Mus musculus: one gene and its partners. The protein of the gene in region 2 purifies or fractionates together with the protein of the main gene of each other region. This does not show direct contact. Links are inferred from orthologs where the notes say so. Each region holds a gene or a part of one and is shown on either strand. Other genes may lie near its edges.

What was found. The genes of interacting proteins can lie anywhere in the genome.
Region 1: the proteins of Mtnr1a (region 2) and Gnai3 purify together in Homo sapiens (tandem affinity purification; 3 studies listed by BioGRID and IntAct, with this or other methods). This does not show direct contact. The link is inferred for Mus musculus from reciprocal best matches to the Homo sapiens genes MTNR1A and GNAI3.
Region 3: the proteins of Mtnr1a (region 2) and Gnai2 purify together in Homo sapiens (tandem affinity purification; 3 studies listed by BioGRID and IntAct, with this or other methods). This does not show direct contact. The link is inferred for Mus musculus from reciprocal best matches to the Homo sapiens genes MTNR1A and GNAI2.

The regions. Positions count from the first base shown.
Region 1 is NC_000069.6:108,108,153-108,111,652, forward strand, and holds part of Gnai3 (guanine nucleotide-binding protein G(i) subunit alpha), read right to left. Parts: intron 1,461-3,500; coding exon 1,270-1,460; 3' UTR 1,251-1,269; intron 1,165-1,250; 3' UTR 1-1,164. UniProt on the Homo sapiens protein: Heterotrimeric guanine nucleotide-binding proteins (G proteins) function as transducers downstream of G protein-coupled receptors (GPCRs) in numerous signaling cascades.
Region 2 is NC_000074.6:45,066,661-45,072,691, reverse strand, and holds the start of Mtnr1a (melatonin receptor type 1A), read right to left. Parts: upstream 3,586-6,031; 5' UTR 3,483-3,585; coding exon 3,290-3,482; intron 1-3,289.
Region 3 is NC_000075.6:107,618,344-107,621,843, reverse strand, and holds part of Gnai2 (guanine nucleotide-binding protein G(i) subunit alpha-2), read left to right. Parts: intron 1-1,381; coding exon 1,382-1,424; intron 1,425-1,655; coding exon 1,656-1,797; intron 1,798-1,986; coding exon 1,987-2,147; intron 2,148-3,500. UniProt on the Homo sapiens protein: Guanine nucleotide-binding proteins (G proteins) are involved as modulators or transducers in various transmembrane signaling systems.

The DNA of each region.
Region 1 (3,500 bases), on a different chromosome or scaffold from region 2:
CAACCGTAGGCTCTTCACTCACCGTTTGTTTTAATACTGCTGCCAACTGTAACAGATTCAAATCTGTACACGACAAGGTGGAAAAAGTCCCCAAATGCAAGTTTTAGAAAAAGAATATAGTAAGGACTACTACTACAGTTAACATTGCTACAGTAAAAACGATGGCAAACAGGGATTTGGCACCACATTTACAAAGGAAAAGCATGCACTGTTAATACACTTTTAGATGTCTCCTAACAAAAAAGGCCACGAAGATGGAAAACAAGGGGCATCTTATTCAAAACCTCCCCATGACCGAGACAAACAGGCAAGATTCCATGTGGTCAACTTAGTAGACCTGTAGCAGCAAGCCACTGGTTCTCAATTTAGCATCTGCATCTCATTGACGGCTATCCTGCGTGTGTCCAAGAAGCAGTTTAACACACTACATCAGTATTCATCTAGTAATTTGGTAATCAGCACAAACAAGGTTAACCCCGACAAATACAACTTCCAACCGTAAGCGTAAAGCAATGAGAGCAGGAATCGTACTGTAGAACTCTCCAAGGTGAATGCTGTTTAGAAACCATTGTGGTACTTTAAACATGACAGTAACATAAATTTCATTCCGAAAAGCTCTATTAATATAGTCCCAATAACCAGGAAGAATTTTAATTATTGAAATATTACTCCCGACCATTCCAAGAGTTAAAAACAAACAGTTCCTACTAAGAGGAATAGTTTCAAGATGTCTGGTGACATTGTGTGCATAGTTAAGACTCAGTCCTCAGAAGTTTCTTTTGCAAACAAGGAAGAGTTTTTAAGTATTCTTCTCTTGATAAGAAAAACCTTAGAAATTAACTACTGGTCATTTGTCAAAAAGATGGGGGAAAGTGAGCTACATGTTTAAGTTCTGGAAGGCAGCACCTCAACTTCAATATGCCCTAAACATTAGATTACAGAGTCCAAGCGACGCCCTGACGATCCAGTCATACTTTACAGTTGTCCAATCCCAGGTCTGATTTGAACATCTCATGCCAATTAGACATTCCCTAATAGAGAAGACTGCTGGAGAGCGCTAGCTAAGATTCTGCGTGTTGCTGCCATTCCTTGGTCCTGTCATGCGTGCTGCTGACCCAAGAGACAGTAGATGACATCTGGTCTCAACACTCCTCCCTGTAATAGCTAAAAAAGAGAAGACATTGTTAATCAGAAAAACATTTACAAAGCTACCCCGCCCCCAGTGGTAACTAAACTGTCTCAAGTTTTACCTTTTACTATGCCATCCTCTCAATAAAGCCCACATTCCTTTAAGTTGTTTTTAATGATGACATCCGTAACAGCATCAAAAACAAACTGCACATTTTTGGTGTCTGTGGCACAGGTGAAGTGAGTGTAGACCTCCTTGGTATCTTTTCTTCGGTTCAGATCTTCAAACTGGCACTGAATGTAAGCAGCTGCCTCTTCGTATGTATTGGAACCTGAGGCAGACGACCAACATTGTCAAGTGTAACAGCTGCCTGCACCCAGCTAAGTTAGGCCATCAGCATTTACTTACGGAAAGCAACACCACACAACTGACTACAAACAGAATTCTGCCTCTATTTCTATTACCCTTAGGATTTTCTGCAGTCATTGGATTTTTCATAAGAAAGACTCACACGGACACTAAAACCAAACCATCATGCTCAAGGGATGAGGAAAACAAGTTTCACTTCCTCTGAGACCCTGACCTTGGAGTGACCCTGGACGAAGGGCTCCCAACAGGTAAAGCATTTATTTAAACATCATTCCAATCCTAGAGAGGCACCAGCAAAGGCAAACTAACAGATGGGGAACAAGTGGGACCCCAGTTATAGACTCTGACACCTCTCCTCACCCGGCACCGCCTTCAAACTCATGGCTTCCTACCTCGCCCTCCCAAGTGCTGGGATGCAGGCACGGTGCCCATCCACAGCCAGTAACACACTTTAAAGGATAAGTCTGTCTCAACAAGCAGCTGCTTTCTAAGGAGTAGGGGCACGAGGAGACCAACAGAAAGCCTTCTTTTTAATATATATAATTAACACTCAGTCGTCCACTTTCCACACGGTCTTAGAAACCGCCTGTAGCGTCAAGGACACTGTCAAAACAATGTACACTGTTTTCATAAACCAGAGCCTATTTTGGGTGAGATCAAGCATGGCAAGAAATATCAAGTAAGTACATAAAGAAGCCTGGGAGAAAGAAAGAACACATGAAATACAGAACTAAAGGAAGACTACTTTGTTAGGTGCCTAGAGCTCGCAACCCCCCTCCCATCTTGGTTTTTCAAGACAGGGTTTCTCTGTGTAGTCTTCACTCTCCACAAGGCTGGCATCTTATGGGAGTCAGTTCCCTCCTGTAATCCAAGTCCAGGAGCTGAACTCAGGTCATCAGGTTTGGAGGCACGCACCTTATCCGATGGGCCACCTCACTGTCCACTCCCCTTACTTTCTAAGAGATTCTGGTTCTTTTCTTTTGTATCCTTTATAAACCTTTATTTCTCTCCTGTTGGTAGCTAGTATTTGTCTCATTTTATCGTTTCTCGCCTCATTTTATAGTCATCTCTCTGGTAACTTCATTTATCTCCAATAAGTTAATTACTGCTGTTCTCAGGTTTATACATCTAAGCTAACCTTTCCCTAAGTCCCTAGTATAAGGATCACTACCAAACAGACACTTCTATCTGGTTATTCTACAGATACTTCTAAAACAACATTCCAAAATATAAATTCAGATCATAGCAAAGTATCCAACTGAGAGACTTGAGTGAAGACACCTTTGACTTTCTAATGTTTGCTGAACCTTTCACTGTATTCTCAAAAGAAAGCAGAGTCTCAGATAGTGAGAGCCCCCATCCACGGAAACAGCTCAGAGAGTCCCCTTCTCACTCTGGCCATCTGGTCACAGCTTTCATAATGGCACAGTTCTGCCATTGTTGTCTGTGATCCCTAATTTCAAATAGCCGACTGGCCCACAGCGTTTTACCTTCTTTAGCTATAACCAGAATCTTTCCCAGAGAAACTTGAATTGGAAGTCAAGCAAACCCAGTATGACCTCATTGTTTTAATGGAAGAGACACAGAAATGGTGGCAATGCCATCCTTCATCTTATAAACTGAATAGTAAAGGACATTAGTGGGGACAGAGAAGAATAGACATGGAGCCAAGGAAAGAGACAGAGATGAAGTGACCTCCTTTAGAGGTGCCTCCCTCGCACTGGCACTGACTTCACAGTCTGACTTTCACTCCTAGCCCCACCCATATCCTTGTCCTTGGCTTTTAAGATGCCATCCTGGCTCTCACTGAAAGGTTGTATCTGCATCCGAAGGCAGTCCTTACTGCCGTCCTCACTACACTGCTGCTAGACTGCTGTTCATACACCATGTGCCCAAGGCCACTTGTCACTAGCTCGACACAGGGCCAGCCTCTCCCTGCTAGTACGTTAAATTCCACAGCTGCCACATGCCCCTTCTCCATTTCTTACATGCAACTGTCTTC
Region 2 (6,031 bases):
GATGTGGACTCCTGGAGATATGAAGAGTTCACCTTATTTGCTTTCAACCTATCCCTGGCGTGAAATTCACTCCCTACTCTGTCTCATTCTTGTTGACTCCCAAGGGGGCTTGGAACTTGGAGTAAGATGGGTGGTTTATTGAGGGTGCAGAGTGCTGTCAACTATGTCTGTGGCTAGAGAGTCACTCTGGGGGCGGAGCAACATTACCTTCAATTACACATGTTTTACTTGCCCTGCTATACATTCAAATTTAACACCAATAATGATAGCATGGGGTCTTCCGTAGAGGGACACACGTCATAATTAGCAACCAGGCCCTTGTTCTGTAGTGTTTTCAGATCTGAGCAGAGCACCTATCTGCTTCTGCAGCGAGCACCACAAAAACACACATTCACTCCGTTTTCCAGGAGTGCTTGGATTGAGTTTATCCATGATGTTGTCTGCCACAGTGTGCTCTCTCCTGATGTGCAGCAAACCTTCTTGATGCTCACAATCATGGGCACTGAGTCCCTAGTATGGAAGCTTTATAGAATTCTGAATTTTCTATAGAGCCCAACAGGCTATACCTAAGAGTCTAACATATTGTTAACATTCATCTTTTGTTTATATACTATACAGCTTGAATAGACAGATAACTGAATTTTGAACAGGCAGAATATTATTTTAGGAAAAGGTTTAATTAAGTGTAATGTACATAGAGAAAAATGCAGCTCTGCTTTTTAGCAAGCCAAAAGAAAGATAATAATAATAATAACAATAACAATAATAATGTTCAAATGCCTATTTAGTATTACTTTCTCCATCTTTTTCAAAATATTTTCGTTTTCATCATTTCATTTGATACTTGCAACAATTACGACAAAGCTTTGTGGGGGGCAAGGATGTAGGTGTTATCCCTGTCTGACAGATGTGGAAAGTGAGGGTGGATCACAACTGATTTCCTGGATTGGTATGTATACAGTGAGAATCTTATACCCACTTTAGATGCACCATTTCTCGTTAGCAAAATTTGCACGGGAGCAGAGCAGACAGTCTGTCAACCTTTCACATCTGCTTGGTTGCTTGAAGGCAGTGCCTGTTATGATTGACCGGCCCCACCGGTGATAAAATATCAGAGATTTCTTCCTGAAGACATCAAAGGCAAATGTAGTCTCTTGAGAAAAGGAAGAGGGCAGAAATAATTCTGCCATGGTACCAGACTTCCGAAGGAAAGAACTGCTTTGGAACTCAGATGTGCTAACCTTATCTTTTTCCTCTCTGTTTCTCAACTTTCCCCTTTTCAAAAAGAGGATGTTTTTGTTTTTATATGTATGAGTGTTTGCCTCCATGTGGGTATGTGTACCACGCGCATGCCTGGTACCCGTGGATGTCAGGAGAGTTTGTAGGATCTCTGGGACTTGGAGTTACCAATGGATGTGAGCTGCCATCTGAATGCTGGGAACTGAACCTGGGACCTCTGTAAGGACAGTCACCGAGTCGTCCGTCCAGGTTGATATTTTTTTCATCTTCCCGTTTTTAAAACCAACAAGATAAATTGAACAAATATACAAATTGCGCAATCATTAAAACATTTATTTAGTTTGCCTGGAACTCAATCTGTAGACCAGGCTGGCTTCAGACTCATAGAGACCCAGCTGCCTTCTATTCCCAAGCACTGAGATTCAATGTGTGCACTTGGCACCTCTGAAACTTTTAATAGGCATCTAACAGTATGCTTGAATCAGCTAGCTCTAGCTATGGTCCAAATCACTATTTATTCTTAAAAAAAAAAAAAAAAAAAAAAAAGAGCCTCAAATGGTTTGAACTCAATGATGGTGTGTTTGAGCCAGTAGTCTAGTTATATAAATATGATGCTCTAAAGCTTTGCAAATTAAAACTCACCAAGGGTCTTCTGTACAGTGAGAGGAATGCAGTATATGGACTCAAGAAGTTGCTTAGACAATAATGTTCAAAATAGTAGGACAGTTGGGGTACTTTTCCCAAGCCACCAGAATCGTGAACACCTTTTATAGGAAATGTCTCATAGGATTCAGACTTCTCAAGTAAAGGTTATAGAGACCAATGGAGCAAGGTAGGTGAGCTCCAGGCAGGAACCCCAAGAATTAGAGCCTCCCACTACTGAGCCTCACTACACCCTTCTCTGTAAAGTGAATGAGTCTGATGCCCGACCCTTGGGCTCACTCAAGGACTTTCTGTATGGGTGCTCAGGGTCCCAGTGCAGCTTGTGGAGACTCCTAGCTCTCAGAAGGGGTGTGCTCCCCCAACTATTCGCTTATCCCAACTATTCATTTATTACAGTGGTGGAGACCAAGCCTAGGGCTTTGCCAATGCTCCACAAACAACAACCACCAAGCTATTGAATTCTGAAGACTGGATTCTAGTTTAGGCCGATCATCCGTGAAAGGAAGTCATCCCGTTTTCTAAGCCAAACTGAATTCACATTATCAGATATTTTCAAACTAATTCTTGTACTTTGCACAGCCCGAAGCGTTGCAGAAGCTAGGCCAAAGGTGAGCCACATGCTGCCTGAATTTGAGTTTTCACCAGCTACCTGGTTTAGGACAAAAATATCATTTGGGGCCATTTATTTAAGCAAATGGATTCCCCTCTACCCTTCTACCAAAAGTTTACTTCCAAACCAGGAACAGAAATCCAAGCAACCTTGACGCTGTTTGAAGGCATAAAAAAGCTTAGGGAGAACCGACCAACCCGCTCTTACGCTCTTACGCAGGGTAACTAGGTCAGCTCATTGCTCCAGGGAACCCCAACTGTAACTCAAACACAGAATTAACTCTAGTCCTATATTCTATGCAAATGCATTTCTCGCTACAGTTTTCATCTTCTAAAATGCAGATTTGACTTGAGGAACAAAGGTGCTTCCTCAGCATTCTTAGCATCTTCCCAGACTACCTTGCAATTTGGTGCTGTTAGCTGAAAACCACACCTGATAACAAAAGCCAAGCAGTAGCTCTGTTGTTTTTGGCGGCTTCTGCATCTTCTCCTATTTTTGCGAAGTTGGGGGAAATGGATTTTATGCAAATCCAAACAACTGATGATGAGTTCGTTGATCTAGATGAGTAAAGAGATGCTGTGGGAGGGAACAGAGTTTTACATCTCTAAGAACTGAAGACTCCTGGATGATCTTTGTCAAGGCATCTTATAGAGGGACAGGGTCAAGAGAAAGGAGAGAAAATTATCCAAAGTCTCATTTCTCAGAAACGGACTTTCTGAAGTTTTCTCAGTGTCCCGCAATGGGGCTAGCGCTGGGAAAGGTGCCCGGAGCCCCTACCTGAGTTCCTGAGCTTCTTGTTGCGGTACACAGACAGGATGACCAGCAGGTTGCCCAGAATGTCCACCACGATGGTAAAGATGAGGATGAAGGCCAGTGTAGAGGCCAGCCAGGACGGTCGTGGTCTCCCTCCCTCCCCGCCGCCTGGAGCCTGCTGAGTGGCATTGAGCAGCTCGCTGACATTGCCCTTCATGGTCCCCTGGGTGCCTCACCGCAGCACAGCCAGGGCCATTGTCCTGTCGCCCCGGAGCCCTCAACTGCTCAGCTCTGCTCGAGCCCTCTCCGCCACTTTTTATGGCCCTCCCGCGTCTACTTTGCATCCTTATGATTGCTTCGCGGCTGTCCTGCCCACTCCAGCCCCTCCCGGTGGTAGGACACCCTCTCTGCACTTGGCCACTGCCGCCTGCTGACACCTGCTGTCCACTGCCCAGCAACTTGGACTCGGAGGTCCCACAGTGCGTGCACGTTGCGCCCCCGTGTGGCGAGACTCGGTGAGACACGTGGAGGCATCAAGTGGAGGGAAACTTGCACCCTGGAAGGCCTCGATTCACGAACTTGAATCCTAACCAGGACTAGATGCCCTGGATGTCTTATCCGGAAAATGAAGATGAAAATAGAATCTAACTCATCAACTTTAATAGTCAATGATGTGTAAAAATAAAGTAATAATGATATTAAATCACACCCTTTCCGTCTGGCATAGCACGATTTAATGTCTGTTCTGGGTGTTTCTGGCAATTAAACGAAACAAAATGTAAATATTTGCAGATGACAGGTGTATATGTTCTTTTGAAACTATCAGTGAAAACAGAAACTTGAGATAATAGAAGCAGACGTAGAACCACAGTGTAAGATTTCTGGGAAGTGCATTAGCCAGCTCTGTACAGAATGGAACAAAACCCCAAAACTTTCTTCAACATGGGGAAGGAGACTTACACAAAACATATGATGTTCTCATATTGAACACTTAAATTTTCATGCTCTCCATATATTTTATGGCTGTCCAATTCCTAAGCATTTCCAAAGTCCCTTTGAAAGAGTGAAGAAAAATGAAGAAAATACATTTTAAGAAGATGAATACCAGAAAAGCATGACATGACAATATTAAAATCTGTATTAAAATTAAACAATGTGTCGTAGCTCTGGAGGCTGAGGCAGGAGAATCAACACCAGTTTGGGGGCATCTTGAGCTGTGTGGTCAATCAGTGTTGCTGTATAAAATCCTGTCTCAACAAATCATATTAAGTAAAATGGTTGTGTTCATCAATAATTTCAAGAAGAAATGCAATGCAGAATTGAGGGGCCTGAGCGTGTGGCTCTGTCGTTAGGGCTCCTGTGCAGCATTTGCAAAATCTTAGACTCCATTTCTAGTGCTGTATAAACTGGATGTGGCACCTCAGTCACGTAACCCCAGCACCCAGGAGGGAAGGCAAAGGATCAGAGGTTCAAGGTCATCCTCCGCTGTTCAGGACAAACCTGGGATGTGCGAGATTTCATCTAAACCGAGAATAAAGCACAGAATTAAGAAGGTTAATGTTTTAAATTAGCAATGAGGGAAATCGGTGATGGACAGGAAGATATGTTTAAGGGAATGTGGGTAAGTGAGTCTCTAAACTTGAGGTAAGGAAGGGCCCCCTCACTAAGTGAGCATGAGAGGGAGAGTGGGACCGAACCCCATCATCGTGAGCATAGAAAAGACCCATGAGCTTAGGTCATCAACTGACCTAGGGCTCTCTGCACAGCCCTGGGAGAGCTTTTTCAAATGGGCAGTCTTACACGATGTTAATCTGACAGGGTTTGACACTGTGAGGGCCATATGTTGGCTGAAACCCTGCAACACTGGCCAGTGAAGTAACGTGCAGAGGTATGCAATCAGTCATGAGTGAAAACAGGTTTTGAACTTGAGTCCCCCTGAGTCCACAGCTCCAAACCTCATTTCTAAGTGACTGTGTTTCTCAATAGACCGGTATTGGCCACAGAAATGTTTGACACCTATAATAAGAAAAACATAACATAAACTATATAAAACAGGAGATGATATATGGTATAGCAATACAATATATGATATGATATATATGATATATGACATGATGTATATTGTTGATATATGACATGATATATGTATGTGAATATATGATGTAACAATGAAGCATTGTAATGCAATGTAACGAGTGTAACATTTTTGAGTGAGTGTGGGTAAAAATAATGGCAAGATGACTAGGGCTCATAATTAGAAATAATTAAAACTGGAAATTGAGAATTAGAGGGTGTCACTGGTGTATAGTATATGTTTAGCATACCTAAAGCCCTGGGTTTAGTTCCTGGTACCACTACTCAAAATCAAAAAGGCTCAATTTGGGGGTAAATACACAAAGCTTTTTCCTCCATTTTCTCTCTGAAGTCCTTGTAAATTGTATATTTTTAAAAAAACCAAAACTGGGCTAACAAGACGGCCCAATGGCTCAACTTGCTAAGTTTGAGACCTAAGTTCCTTTCCCACATTTCATTAAAAATCAATTTTTTTTCTCATCTAATACATCCTGATTATGGTTTTTGTTCCCTTTACTTGTCCCAGTTCCTCCCATCCCAGCCCCTTTTTGAAAGTCCTGAGTTCTTATCTCCAGATCCCACACAGACATGCCTCTGTGTCCCGATGGGGAGCAGAGAGGAACAGTTATAAGTCCAAAGCCCGGTGTTTCCAACACGGACCAATAAAGACTGCCTCAAACAAGGCAGAAGGCA
Region 3 (3,500 bases), on a different chromosome or scaffold from region 2:
AAACAAAACAAAACAAAAGAATTATAAGAATGAAAAAAATTGGCCATGTTGATGAACAGTTGGTAATTCCAGGCGGGAAGTTGAGAAATTTAAGGTCATCTTTGACTGCATTACAAATTTGAAGCCAACCTGGTCTACATGAAACCTTGGCACACAGTGGGTGCTTGTCACAACTTTGCCGTCATTATTATTGATGGTGTTTTTGTTAATACGTTAGCCCTATTATATGATCTGGATAGAAGGACAGAGTTCCCAAGTTCAACCCACTCATAGGTCAGTCCTGTGAACAGAACACAGGGCAGGGTTTCCCAGGAAAGAGGACAGGATGAATAGCAAGAAGCAGGCAGTACCTGGAAGGTACAGGAATGAAGCTGGTGAGGGGACAGGCAGAGGCTGGGATGGAGGCTGGGCTCATCTTGGCATTATGGTGTCATCTTAAATGCGGGCTGCATGATCCTGCTCCAAGAATGTTCGCTTCTGAACTTCAGTGCCTTCTGTAAAGTGAGATCAGAAAAGATTGGTTTAATGGAGTTGCTGTGGCAAACACAGAAGAGACCAACAAACCTCAGAACCAGTCACAGAGAAATGAGGACAGGGGTTCTGCCAACCTAGAGAGGCTTGAGTCAGTGTTTGTGTGTGTGTGTGTGTGTGTGTTTCTATTTTCCATCTGTTTAGGACAGAGCTGATCCAGAAAGCAGAGGGCTAGGTCTTGGGCCATGTCCAAAGGACAGGAATGTGACTCTGGTCCTTGTAGGTTACTTAGCAGCTAAATCTCAGAGTTTGGGAACAGGAGCATTTCCTGCCCTTTTGCAATATGCAGGGTACCTTCCAGCCAGCCCTGCCTTGCTCTTTTTTTTTTAAGATTTATTTATTATTATATGTAAATACACTGTAGCTGACTTCAGACACACCAGAAGAGGGCATCAGATCTCATTATGGGTGGTTGTGAGCCATCACGTGGTTGCTGGAATTTGAACTCAAGACCTTCGGAAGAGCAGTCAGTGCTCTTACCCGCCAAGCCATCTCGCCAGCCCCCCTGCCTTGCTCTTGCACAGGGTGGTAAGCCTGTGTTTGTGAGAGTAGAGAATGTGGACCTAAGACCTTGGCTAACTCCCTGAACTCATACAGGACAGAGGTGGGGGCATGGCGGGATCCCTGACAGACAGTGGACCTTAGGGAAGCAGAGGCCTGCATGGAGCCTGCCAAGGAGCAGAAGCTATAGGTTTCCTTAGTCACTGTGGCCCCTGTAAGCCACCGGCTGTCTCACTGTGCCACCGATGTGTAGAAGGTAGGAAGTACCTTCAGTGATAATGGCAAGGCTGTTTGCATATGGAGCCCACTGGGCTTGTCCTCTCCTCCTCATCTCTGCCCTCTGTTCCAGGTGCTGGAGAGTCAGGGAAGAGCACCATCGTCAAGCAGATGAAGTAAGTGGTGTGCAGAAGTCACCAAAGTTTGACCATCATCTTCCTCTGGGCCTGTCCCGTCTCCCCTGCTTGGTCTCCACCTGTCCCAGAGGGCCCCATTGCTACTTATATCAATATGACTCTGTAGGCCAGGGGCTGTTCCCCCTCTTTGGAGTAGTCCCCGGCAGTTCCCGGGTAGCTGTGGGATTTCTTGTGGCTGGTGGATCATAACTTATGACCTCTGTTTATCAGGATCATCCATGAAGATGGCTACTCAGAAGAGGAGTGCCGGCAGTACCGTGCCGTGGTCTACAGCAACACCATCCAGTCTATCATGGCCATCGTGAAGGCCATGGGCAACCTGCAGATCGACTTTGCTGATCCCCAGCGTGCGGTGCGTGCCCTTCCTCCACCCCTTCCTCTCTGCCTGGCTCCCAGAAGCCTTCAGGGCAAGTCTTGTCCTAGGGAGCCTGAGAGTACACCAGTCTGGGCCCTGTTCTAGAATATTCCCTGCTCTCTAATCATCGGGAGGGCGTTTGTTCCTTTACCTGTCTGTCTGTCTGACCTCCATTTCTGTGCTCAGGATGATGCCAGGCAGCTGTTCGCCCTGTCCTGTGCTGCAGAGGAACAAGGGATGCTTCCTGAAGACCTGTCCGGTGTCATCCGGAGGCTCTGGGCTGACCACGGTGTGCAAGCCTGCTTTGGCCGCTCACGAGAATACCAGCTCAATGACTCAGCCGCTTAGTGAGTACCGCAAGGGACTGGGCACGGCAGGCGCTCCCAGGGTAGAAGCTGATGACTGCCCACCGAGGCTTTGGGAGTGGAGTAGGTTGGATGGAAACTCTGGGATAGCATGCTGTCGGAAGGCCTGGAGAAACGACAGCCATGGTGGCTTTCAGGCTCCTTATCTGTCTTCACACATGATCGTTCTGAAGAACGTTTGCAGCCACCTGCTCCGTGCAGAGTGTCAGGGACACAGTGATGAGTGCAAAGAACAGGTCCTTAAGCAATGACAGCTGAAGGTGTCAGTAGGAAATCAAGAGTGGGAGGGGTTTGAGGCCGGGGCATGACATATGTTAAACTCCAGGCTGTCACTGAGGATACAGGAGTTCAGGCCTGTTGCTCAGAGCCCCACAGAGACGGAAGAGGCTGTCTTTGAGGTGACGGATGTGTGCACAAGCTGGAGCCTGGACTTTGCTTCTGACCTTTTCTGGATCTGAGCCAAGCCCAGGACTCAGCTAGAGAATCAGAGTGTCCCAGGAATTTCAGAGGCGCAGCAGGCCTGGATCCTTTAGGCCAGAACACAATTCTGAATTCCCCTGCAGTCCAGCAGTGTGTCTGTCAGGACTGGGCAGGGTGCTGAACTCCCTGTCCCTGCTTCTGCTTCTCTTAGCCAGCCAGCCTCCAGCCCAGCCCTGCCCCTCCAGGTCCCTATTGCCCATCAGATCTTGAGCCTGCTCAGCAAGGCTAGACCTCACAGGAGTTAGGTAGATCTGCCTAGTTAGGATTCCCAAGTCCTGCTTCAGTCACGTGACCAGGCTTCTTCTGTCCTCTCTAACTTCCCTTGTGTCATTCCTACCCTCGGGGAGTTTTGGGATCATAGCCAAATCTGCGGAGGCCTCCGGGCTTCAGCACTGCCCCACCCCGAAATCACGGGCTTAGCCACCAGCTGAATTACAGAGGCAGGGAGGGGGTGAGCCCTGTCAACTTACTAGTTGACAACCAAAACTACTTCGTTGTCCCCAGTACTCAAGGAGGGAAGGATGGCGCCATGTCCTGCCCCCTCTCCACTTCCTCCGCTTTCCTTTTTCTTTATTCTCCACCTTCTTCCTATTGCACGCCTGCCTCTGCTCTAGGAGTTGGGGTGGTCACCACAGGGCCTGCTCAGCCAGAGTGCTTTTTGCCTCCACAGGCTCATCTTCAGGAGGAGTATGGGGCGATACTCTAAGCTTTACCACAGGCTAGACCCCAGGAGAGCAGAGGCTCCTAGGGTGAGGCCACCTGCTGAGAAGATAGAAATTGGTGTGGAACTCACCTTGAGGTTTCAGGCTAGGGGCTCCGTCCACAGGGGATGGAGCCTGGTACGCAGGTCACAGC